2 linked regions of the Arabidopsis thaliana genome follow. The protein of the gene in region 2 binds, or shares a complex with, the protein of the main gene of each other region. Each region holds a gene or a part of one and is shown on either strand. Other genes may lie near its edges. The genes, in order: LKP2 and GI. A codon is read from its position in the direction of its gene.

Evidence for each region.
Region 1: the proteins of GI (region 2) and LKP2 are in contact, whole or in part, in a crystal structure (PDB 7WA4), measured with the Arabidopsis thaliana proteins. Residues at the interface, in NP_564180.1 of Arabidopsis thaliana: Met564, Arg568, Ala569, His572, Leu576, Glu577, Ser650, Tyr651, Leu653, Ala654, Ala655, Ala658, Leu659, Cys661, Glu662, Ser703, His707, Ser754, Lys755, Ala756; in NP_849983.1 of Arabidopsis thaliana: Cys45 (codon at 1,765), Phe47 (codon at 1,759), Val49 (codon at 1,753), Asp51 (codon at 1,747), Glu54 (codon at 1,738), Ile60 (codon at 1,720), Tyr61 (codon at 1,717), Val62 (codon at 1,714), Asn63 (codon at 1,711), Thr64 (codon at 1,708), Glu67 (codon at 1,699), Arg73 (codon at 1,681), Ala74 (codon at 1,678), Glu75 (codon at 1,675), Ile78 (codon at 1,666), Gly79 (codon at 1,663), Ile140 (codon at 852), Glu142 (codon at 846), His148 (codon at 828).

The regions. Positions count from the first base shown.
Region 1 is NC_003071.7:8,195,359-8,199,282, forward strand, and holds the start of LKP2 (LOV KELCH protein 2), read right to left. Parts: upstream 2,126-3,924; 5' UTR 1,898-2,125; coding exon 1,653-1,897; intron 1,025-1,652; coding exon 1-1,024. Other genes in the region: AT2G18920 (uncharacterized protein), read right to left, coding at 2,395-2,802.
Region 2 is NC_003070.9:8,059,812-8,063,735, reverse strand, and holds the start of GI (gigantea protein (GI)), read right to left. Parts: upstream 1,986-3,924; 5' UTR 1,755-1,985; intron 1,546-1,754; 5' UTR 1,339-1,545; coding exon 1,174-1,338; intron 1,094-1,173; coding exon 1,039-1,093; intron 961-1,038; coding exon 818-960; intron 734-817; coding exon 462-733; intron 316-461; coding exon 260-315; intron 91-259; coding exon 1-90. UniProt on the Arabidopsis thaliana protein: Involved in regulation of circadian rhythm and photoperiodic flowering. May play a role in maintenance of circadian amplitude and period length. Is involved in phytochrome B signaling. Stabilizes ADO3 and the circadian photoreceptor ADO1/ZTL.

The sequences.
Region 1 (3,924 bases), on a different chromosome or scaffold from region 2:
TAGAGCTCCTGAATCAGCACAACCACCAGATACAATCAGCTTAGTGCCATCAAGTGTGCACGAACTGTGCCATGATCTTGGTATTGGAGGGGCCAATCCGGATACTTCCCTCCAGCTTGGTGGGTCTGCATCAAGGTCTAATAAGAACACATCATTGAGTAATCCGTGGCTCCCGTAACCTCCAAACACTACTAAACGGGAACCGTTGACACAAGAAAGTGTGTGACCCCAGCGACCCGGAGGAGGAGAGCTGACCAGAACAGATTTCCACTCGGGACTACTCGAGCCAAGGTCCAACACAAATGTATCATTCATCGGCTGCATATTCACACCTTCCCCGCCAAAGATAACAATCCTGTTCCCAACTGCACATGCGCTGAAATTACACCGAGAAGGCTCAACAGTACCTCCAACTGAAAACTTCCTCCATGCTGTTGCTTCGTGAGTGGTGAACTCTCGGGCCAGTCGCACCCAACCAATCCTTTTTGCACCGGGAACACTCTCAAGAACACGTGTTGCCTCGGTACCCCATGTGTTTTGACAGACCATTCTCCACACATCATCATTCTTTGTCAACTCATTGAGCCGCCTACATACACAACCAACCGATGCAATATCACCAGGAGTCAACTGTGACAATATCTTGATAGCTATTACTTCATCACTCAGTTCGAATATCCCACAGAGTCCACGAGAAACATTACGCTCTCCGATTGGTAAAGCAGAAGTAAATGAGCGAGATATTCTAGGAATTTCTTTTGCAGATAAATCAGGAGATGGGCCAAGATCAATTTTTGCATCTGTAAATAAGAGAACGCCTATGAAATGAGTGATTTCGTCTTCTTCACGGATAGGGACTAGACGCAGCTTGTTCATCAAGGGAGATCCATCTTTCCGAAAGTTGAGCAACTCGCCTTGAAACTCGATGCCATTTTCTAGACATTGTCGCATCTTCGCTACAATTGTAGAATCTACCATTGGATGCCTTCTTTTAGTAAATGGCCCTCTACATTGCAAGAAACGGCTGCCAAATAAAAAACAACAGCACAAATCAGATACAAGACCCTCCTATTCAATTCATCGAATAGATAACTAACAACTAAACAGATACAGTACTTTGGCGAACAATTCCTCACACACAAGTATTGAACAAAGACTAAACTATATGCATAATTAACATGGAATACCAGATCAAAAGCCGCTAAAACCCAAGAGAAACATATTCAACAGAAACATATATACTTAGACAAAAACGCATTACAATTCAATATTACAAAAATCAATAATCCCAAGGCTTTCATAAACCAATCAAGACATGTGAAAAACTATCAAAGTTCGAGTTCCTAAACACTAATCCACAGACATAGGAAACATTACAAACTGAACCTCACATTATAGCTTAGTTCCTCCACAACAAACTTCTAATTCAATAACCAACCCATGATTCCAAAATGGTTCTAGCTAATAATACCTAACATAATCAACAAGAACCATAATAATGAATCGAAATATAAATTTCTTTCTGTCAAAACAGCTTTCAACAAAGCTTTCTAGTAACATCGTACCAATACCACAAATGAGACAAAATTCGCTACAGTAAAACAAAATCAACACCACAAATTTAGGGTAAAAGTCAAGAAGAGCAAACTCACCAATTTCGACCAATAACTTCTTCAGCTCGATAACCAGTAACAATCTCAAAAACAGTGTTAACATAAATGATAGGGTTGTCAGGTTCAAGAGCATCGCTGACCACAAACCCACACGGCGCCGTGCCAGGAAGACTACCTACCGGAAACGGAATCGCTCCGTTATCTCCACCGAACCATCCATCCTCCGCCACTTCATCTCCACCGCTGAGATCGGAATCACTATCCCACTCCATTTGATTTTGCATACACACCCACAAAATAAAGCTTAAGCCCACTAATCTTCTTCCTCAGCAACAGGAGAAGAGACCCAGAAGAACAAAGTTTGATTTTGAATCGAGGAATCTGATATCTGTAGGTAATCGAAGTCTCCACAGGAAAAAAGTTCCAAACTTTAGACAAACCCAGAAATCGTCTTCTTCAGGAACAGGAGATAGAAGAACAGATTTTGAAATGGAATCGAGCGAAGAAAAGAGGAATCTGATATTTGTAGGTAATGGAAGTCTCCACCGCCCACTTCTAAGAGGAGGAGAAGAAGAAGAAGAGAGATGATTCGGTCGGTCGATGACTCGGCTCTTCTCAGTGCCTCTCCTTTTCCATCTTTAACCAGACCGGTTTCTTAATTTTACCTTACCGGTTTAGTTTATCTATCCGGTTTACACAAAATATCCTGTAAGTTTCTTATGAGATTTTTTTGGTTTTACCAAATGAGTGTATTAGAATCAGTTTTATTGATTTAAAAACATTAGAAACTTGAATTTATCATGAAACCATTGCATCCAAAACCCAATTCTTGCTCATCGAAACGTTCTCCGTCTTTGCTGAATCCAGTAATAGCTTCAAGCCAATCAATATTTTCCTCTTCTTCTAGAGCAACAAAAGCCGATGCATAGTTGGCTTGAGCAAGACATCGTACTGCAGCCCGCCAGAATGGTGTACGCTTCGGGACATCAAGACGTCTAAGAGCGTTAATAACATCTTGATACAAAAGTACAACACCCCGTCTTTCACGATACTCCGTAATAAAGTTTCCACTATTTTCGATCACGCTTTCAATGATAGACCTTCTTCGAGGTTGCCTTGCACGTCTAGAAGAAGTTTGTACACTGTTACGTGTTTGTGTTACGCCTTGGTTTTGGGTGGTGTCTGCCATATAATCTTGTGTGTTTAGAGGGTAGACATCATCTTCAACTATCCTAAAAGACGCTTTATGCAAATGGAAGAAGGCTTTTACTAAAGGTCAAACCACATTTTTCTGCGGTTTTGTCTTTGCTCTGCAAGTAAAGTTTTTATGTGAAACAAAAACTAATTATGTTGATGTTGATTATTTGTATAATGTTAATTGTTTTTTATTTTTTCGTGTAGGTATTTGCATTAGAGCGATTTACTATCTTTCAACAACTATTTCCATCCAGTTTTCCTTTAATGGTTGAGTGGGCAAAGATATATAAACCGTATACCAAAAATTGTGCCAACAGAAGTGGGGGACACTATCAAGAGATGCTTGTAGACATGAAGGAAGATGAGGTACCTAACAAAATTTCATCTCTTTGTCATATGCATTTGTTCTATATTAAATACTTAGATTATATTTTTTCAGATTAAGTGGCAGCCATATAGCAAAGTTATATTGCCCAAGGAATACACCTCTCAATTGAGTATGGTATTTGCACATGTTCCATGCATCTGCTTTAACACCATCGCATACAACCGAACTATTTGGGAGAGCCACTAAATAGTTTTCCGATTAGGAATGACGAGACCTTGGAGATGGGAGAGCCACCAAACAAGTGGAATGAAAGCAATAGATGGGTTGACCATTCACATGTCACTGAGGTGGTCGAGACTTTGCCGGAGAAAACCAGTAAATCGGCTGATGCAAATGTGAATTGTCTTTTTTTTTTTTTTCTAATACAAATGAATTTGGTTCTCACTTTACTTGATTTAACAGCTGGAGTCCTTGGATGAAAATCACAAGGAAGCGAATGAAGAGGAGGGAGCGAATGAAACGATGGGAGTGAATGAACAAGAGGGAGCGAATGAAACAGTTAGTCATTCTCAATAATACAAATGAATTTGGTTTTGTAACATATACTCTAGGATATTAGAAAACTAAATATTAATAACTGGCAGGAAAGAAGTGATCTTCGACTTCTTAAAAGAGGAAGAGACGAACTACTTAGAAGTGAAGGAAAATTAAAACCAACCGATAGATGTACTCCATCTTTTTCGCACCAGAAACATGCAGGGGAACAAGAAACAAAAATTCCGCTTG
Region 2 (3,924 bases):
AAACACTCAGTATGACACCAGCTCCATTAGCAACAGCCCATCTTGGGGTTGAAGGCATCAGTTGAGGATGTTTACCAGATCCTCGAGAAGCTGCCAAAGTAGGACAACATGAAAGTTATAGGAAGCAACTCAAAACACATTCTATAGCCACAGGTGATGGATACACATTTATGAACGAAGTGATAGAACAACTCTATTGATCAGAATTATCATCAAAATCCAGTTCCAGGGGATATTAACATGGAATTCTTGAACTCACCAATGGTTGGCGGCTTGAGCTCTCCAGCAGCATATTTACCCATTACACCACTACACCTGTAAATAATAAGCAACATTTTTAGTTGTCAGTAAGCTTAATCCACTACAGAACCTCAATACATAGACCTCAGCAGAGAGACCAAAATAAAAGAAGGAGGCCGGCGCATGAACACATAGAAGCATCAGTAACAGAGTCTACTTACCATCGGAAATAGTCACTTCTTATACCAAGAGGAGCAGCAAGTAGTATATCACTGATCCATGGAGACAAAGGCCTTAAAGGTTTCCTTTCATGCTGTGTTGGTGATCCAGCCTTAGGCTCTGAAGTCGGAGAACCACTAGTTGTAGCTTTGCTCAGACAATTTCTCTCTGTATCTCCATTTTGCTGCTCAGTTTTATAAATGGGACGGTTGTAATGAGTCAAAATGCGAAGGATTTCTCCACATGCCAAAGCCCATTGCTCCGAATAGTCATTCTGTTAGGATAGTGAACATGTTAGCACAAAATGGTATAGGTTACACCAAATCAGTAAGCATGATACTAGACAGCTATTATATACCTCACTACTTGGGCAAACTAAAGATATGAAAGAGGCAAACGGATGAGCTTCCTTGCTGTACACCAACGAGCCATCAATAAGACATGAAATGATTGGAAGAATGACTGCATGACCATGCTCCGGATGATGAAGGACAAACATCGCTGTTTCATCAGAAAACGAAAATCAGATAGACATTCACACACAAAAAGAGAAGTGTGGATCATAAATGTTGATCATACCCAGCACATCGTCTAAAAGTCGCTTCTCAGTTGATGGATACTGATGCCGGACCAACTGATACAGATAAATTATACATGAATCAAAACGTCACTACTAAGAGAATACTCTTATTAAACTCATTAGGTATCAAGTACCTCAGCAATGTCATCTGGGAATTGCTCTGATGTAAATTGACCAAAATATTCAACATAAGCAACGACTTGATCCTTATGTTGTTGAGGATCTCGTGGCGGAGGCCATAACAAGGAAGAGAACTGAAGACCATCGATCCATCTCTCAGATGAAGATGAACTAGCCATCCAGGAACCGAAACTAAACCCCAACTAGATGAACGAACAATCTAACTAACACCTTTCTTCTACTATCAATCGAGAATCAATACGACGTAGTGTTAACATTCGCCAGCAAGAACAATCACTATACACATCTCCCAGATTCTTTTAAATCCTTTTTATACTAATCAACACACTGTACACTAAATCGAAGCTGAATCAAACAGCTAAACCCTGTAACAACAATTCAGAAGAACAAAATCTCAATCAGATAAGATGTCAAATCAAACAACAAATCTAAGCTGAGAAAACAAAAAATGCTAGTAGAAACAGTGATTTACCAAGAACTTATTTAAAAAAAAAAGACATCAAATGATTCGGGAAAAAATCTCATCTGAGAATCAATCAACCAAAAACCACGAAAAAGGTAGTAGAAGAAAGACCTGAAAGTAAATATGTCTTCCTATGAGTTTGTTGGTTGGTTATCTCTACTCTTGCTTTTTTTTGGCTTTGAGGATATTTTTGAGAGATCGACGAATATCGGAGAAAAAAAGAATACATACACAGAAGAAGAGATTGTGGTGGCCTTAGGAGAGAGAGAGAGAAAAAAGAGATTTGGAGGCTTCTCCACTCGGTTTAAGATTTCCCGTCTGCTTACGTGTCATCGATATTTCCTTGCCTTTGCCACCACCTTTATGCGCCATTACCATATAACCATCATCATCCCACATACATCTCCACCCATACCATGGTTAAAAAATTTACCATATTTTTGTTACATTTTTTAAGCATATATATATGAAATTTTATTTTAAAAAATTTTACTGGTAGTTTATGTTAGTGTTGTTTTGGAATCACAATGCGAATTCAAATTCGTATATTGTATGTTACAATCACCAAGAAAAATGTTTGCCAATTTAAGTAATTAATTTTAATCCTAATAAATAAATTTTGTAAACTCAGATTTACTCCAAAATTCTGTCTATTTTTAACCATGAGCTAAGTTTAAAATCTACTTAAACATATAATTATATCAATAATATTTGGCTGTTTTAAAATAAACCATTACATTCACAGTATGGCATATATTGGTAAAGAATTTGTACAAGTAATCAGAGAGATTATTTTATTTCAAGGTTTGGTGGTCATGATTGTATTATTGAGTTATTAATTTAAGTATATAACATCTCTCATGTGATTGCCTAATTAATTAATAGTTTCATTACACAAAAAAAAAGCTAGTGACATATGTCCACAGATATTTTGAGGGGAGCTAAGTTCAGATGCTACGAGATGTTACGTACACCTTCGAATTATCCACCGTTGATTCAAGCCCACTCAACAAATTCCTTTAAGAGATTTCGGGCAGCTAGCCCAGAATAGTTTCGAGCCGTTCGATGGTTGTAGATAAACGGGCAGCTTTTGAGGAACAGCCCGTTGAGAAAATATCTAAATGGGCCTCACACATCTTTTAAGATATTTTAAAATCTTACCACTTGTCTCTACTGTACCACATAAACAAGTAGCACAATAAAATGATGACGTGTACCAATCAGAGTGGAGCAAGAGATCTGTGGACGTTGATCACTCGCCAAATAAGAGACGTGGCGCAATAAGATGTGAGCAATATATTGTAATGATCTCCATACGATTCGTGATTGTGTGGTCCACTTCTGTCTGGATGGCTCTTGTCTGAAGAATACTCCATGGTAACATAACTGGGCTTTGGTCATGTACCATGTGATGTGATGGGCTCAAACCTTACGTGGAGTTATGTAACTGGGCTAAATTGTAATTTTAATTTTTCAGTAATTGCTTGTAATACAAATATATTTTTTGATATCAAATTGTAATTTTGAGGAGAACTTACTATTATTAATGAAGATGATAAAATGTTACATTAATGTATCATTCTAATCATAGTAAATATATTAAGAATTACCTCAATTTTTTGGTTTATGATTTACCAATTAGGGAAAACATTAATTTTAATAAAAGCTACTTTGCCTACCTCTTTTTTTTTTGTTAATATATCATTTTAATAACAAGCTTTTATTAAAGTAATATTATGGTGGAGAAATTTTTATAAAATTCTAAAACTTTTTGAAAAGGCGTATTCTCAAATTGTAGGCATTTCAGTTGATATATTATAAGTTTAAGTTATAGTCCAACGAATTATTTCTTTTGTGGTTTAGCAAACGAGATGTTCATCATTACCCATTTCATTGTCAACAAAACCTTTAGAAAATGATATTAGTTATCTTCAAGTATGACTATTATAAATTTATACAGTACAATATACTTTTTTCACAGAAGGACCGTGACATCAATCAATTTAGTATAAGAAAAATCAAATGGAAAAAAAAAAAAAAAAATCAAATGAACATCTTTGCAACGCGAAACTAAGCTCAACACTTGATTTATTCATTATGTTATACTTTAAATTTAAAAATCTTTAATGATATCTTCTTCTTTTTTTGCTAAATTCAAAAAATCTTTAATGATATATAAATTTAGTAAATATTACTGATTAGAGATATGCTGGTTTAGTTTTCATCCGATCATAGTTAGATGTGGTATTTACATAATATAATCCATAAACTAACATAATTC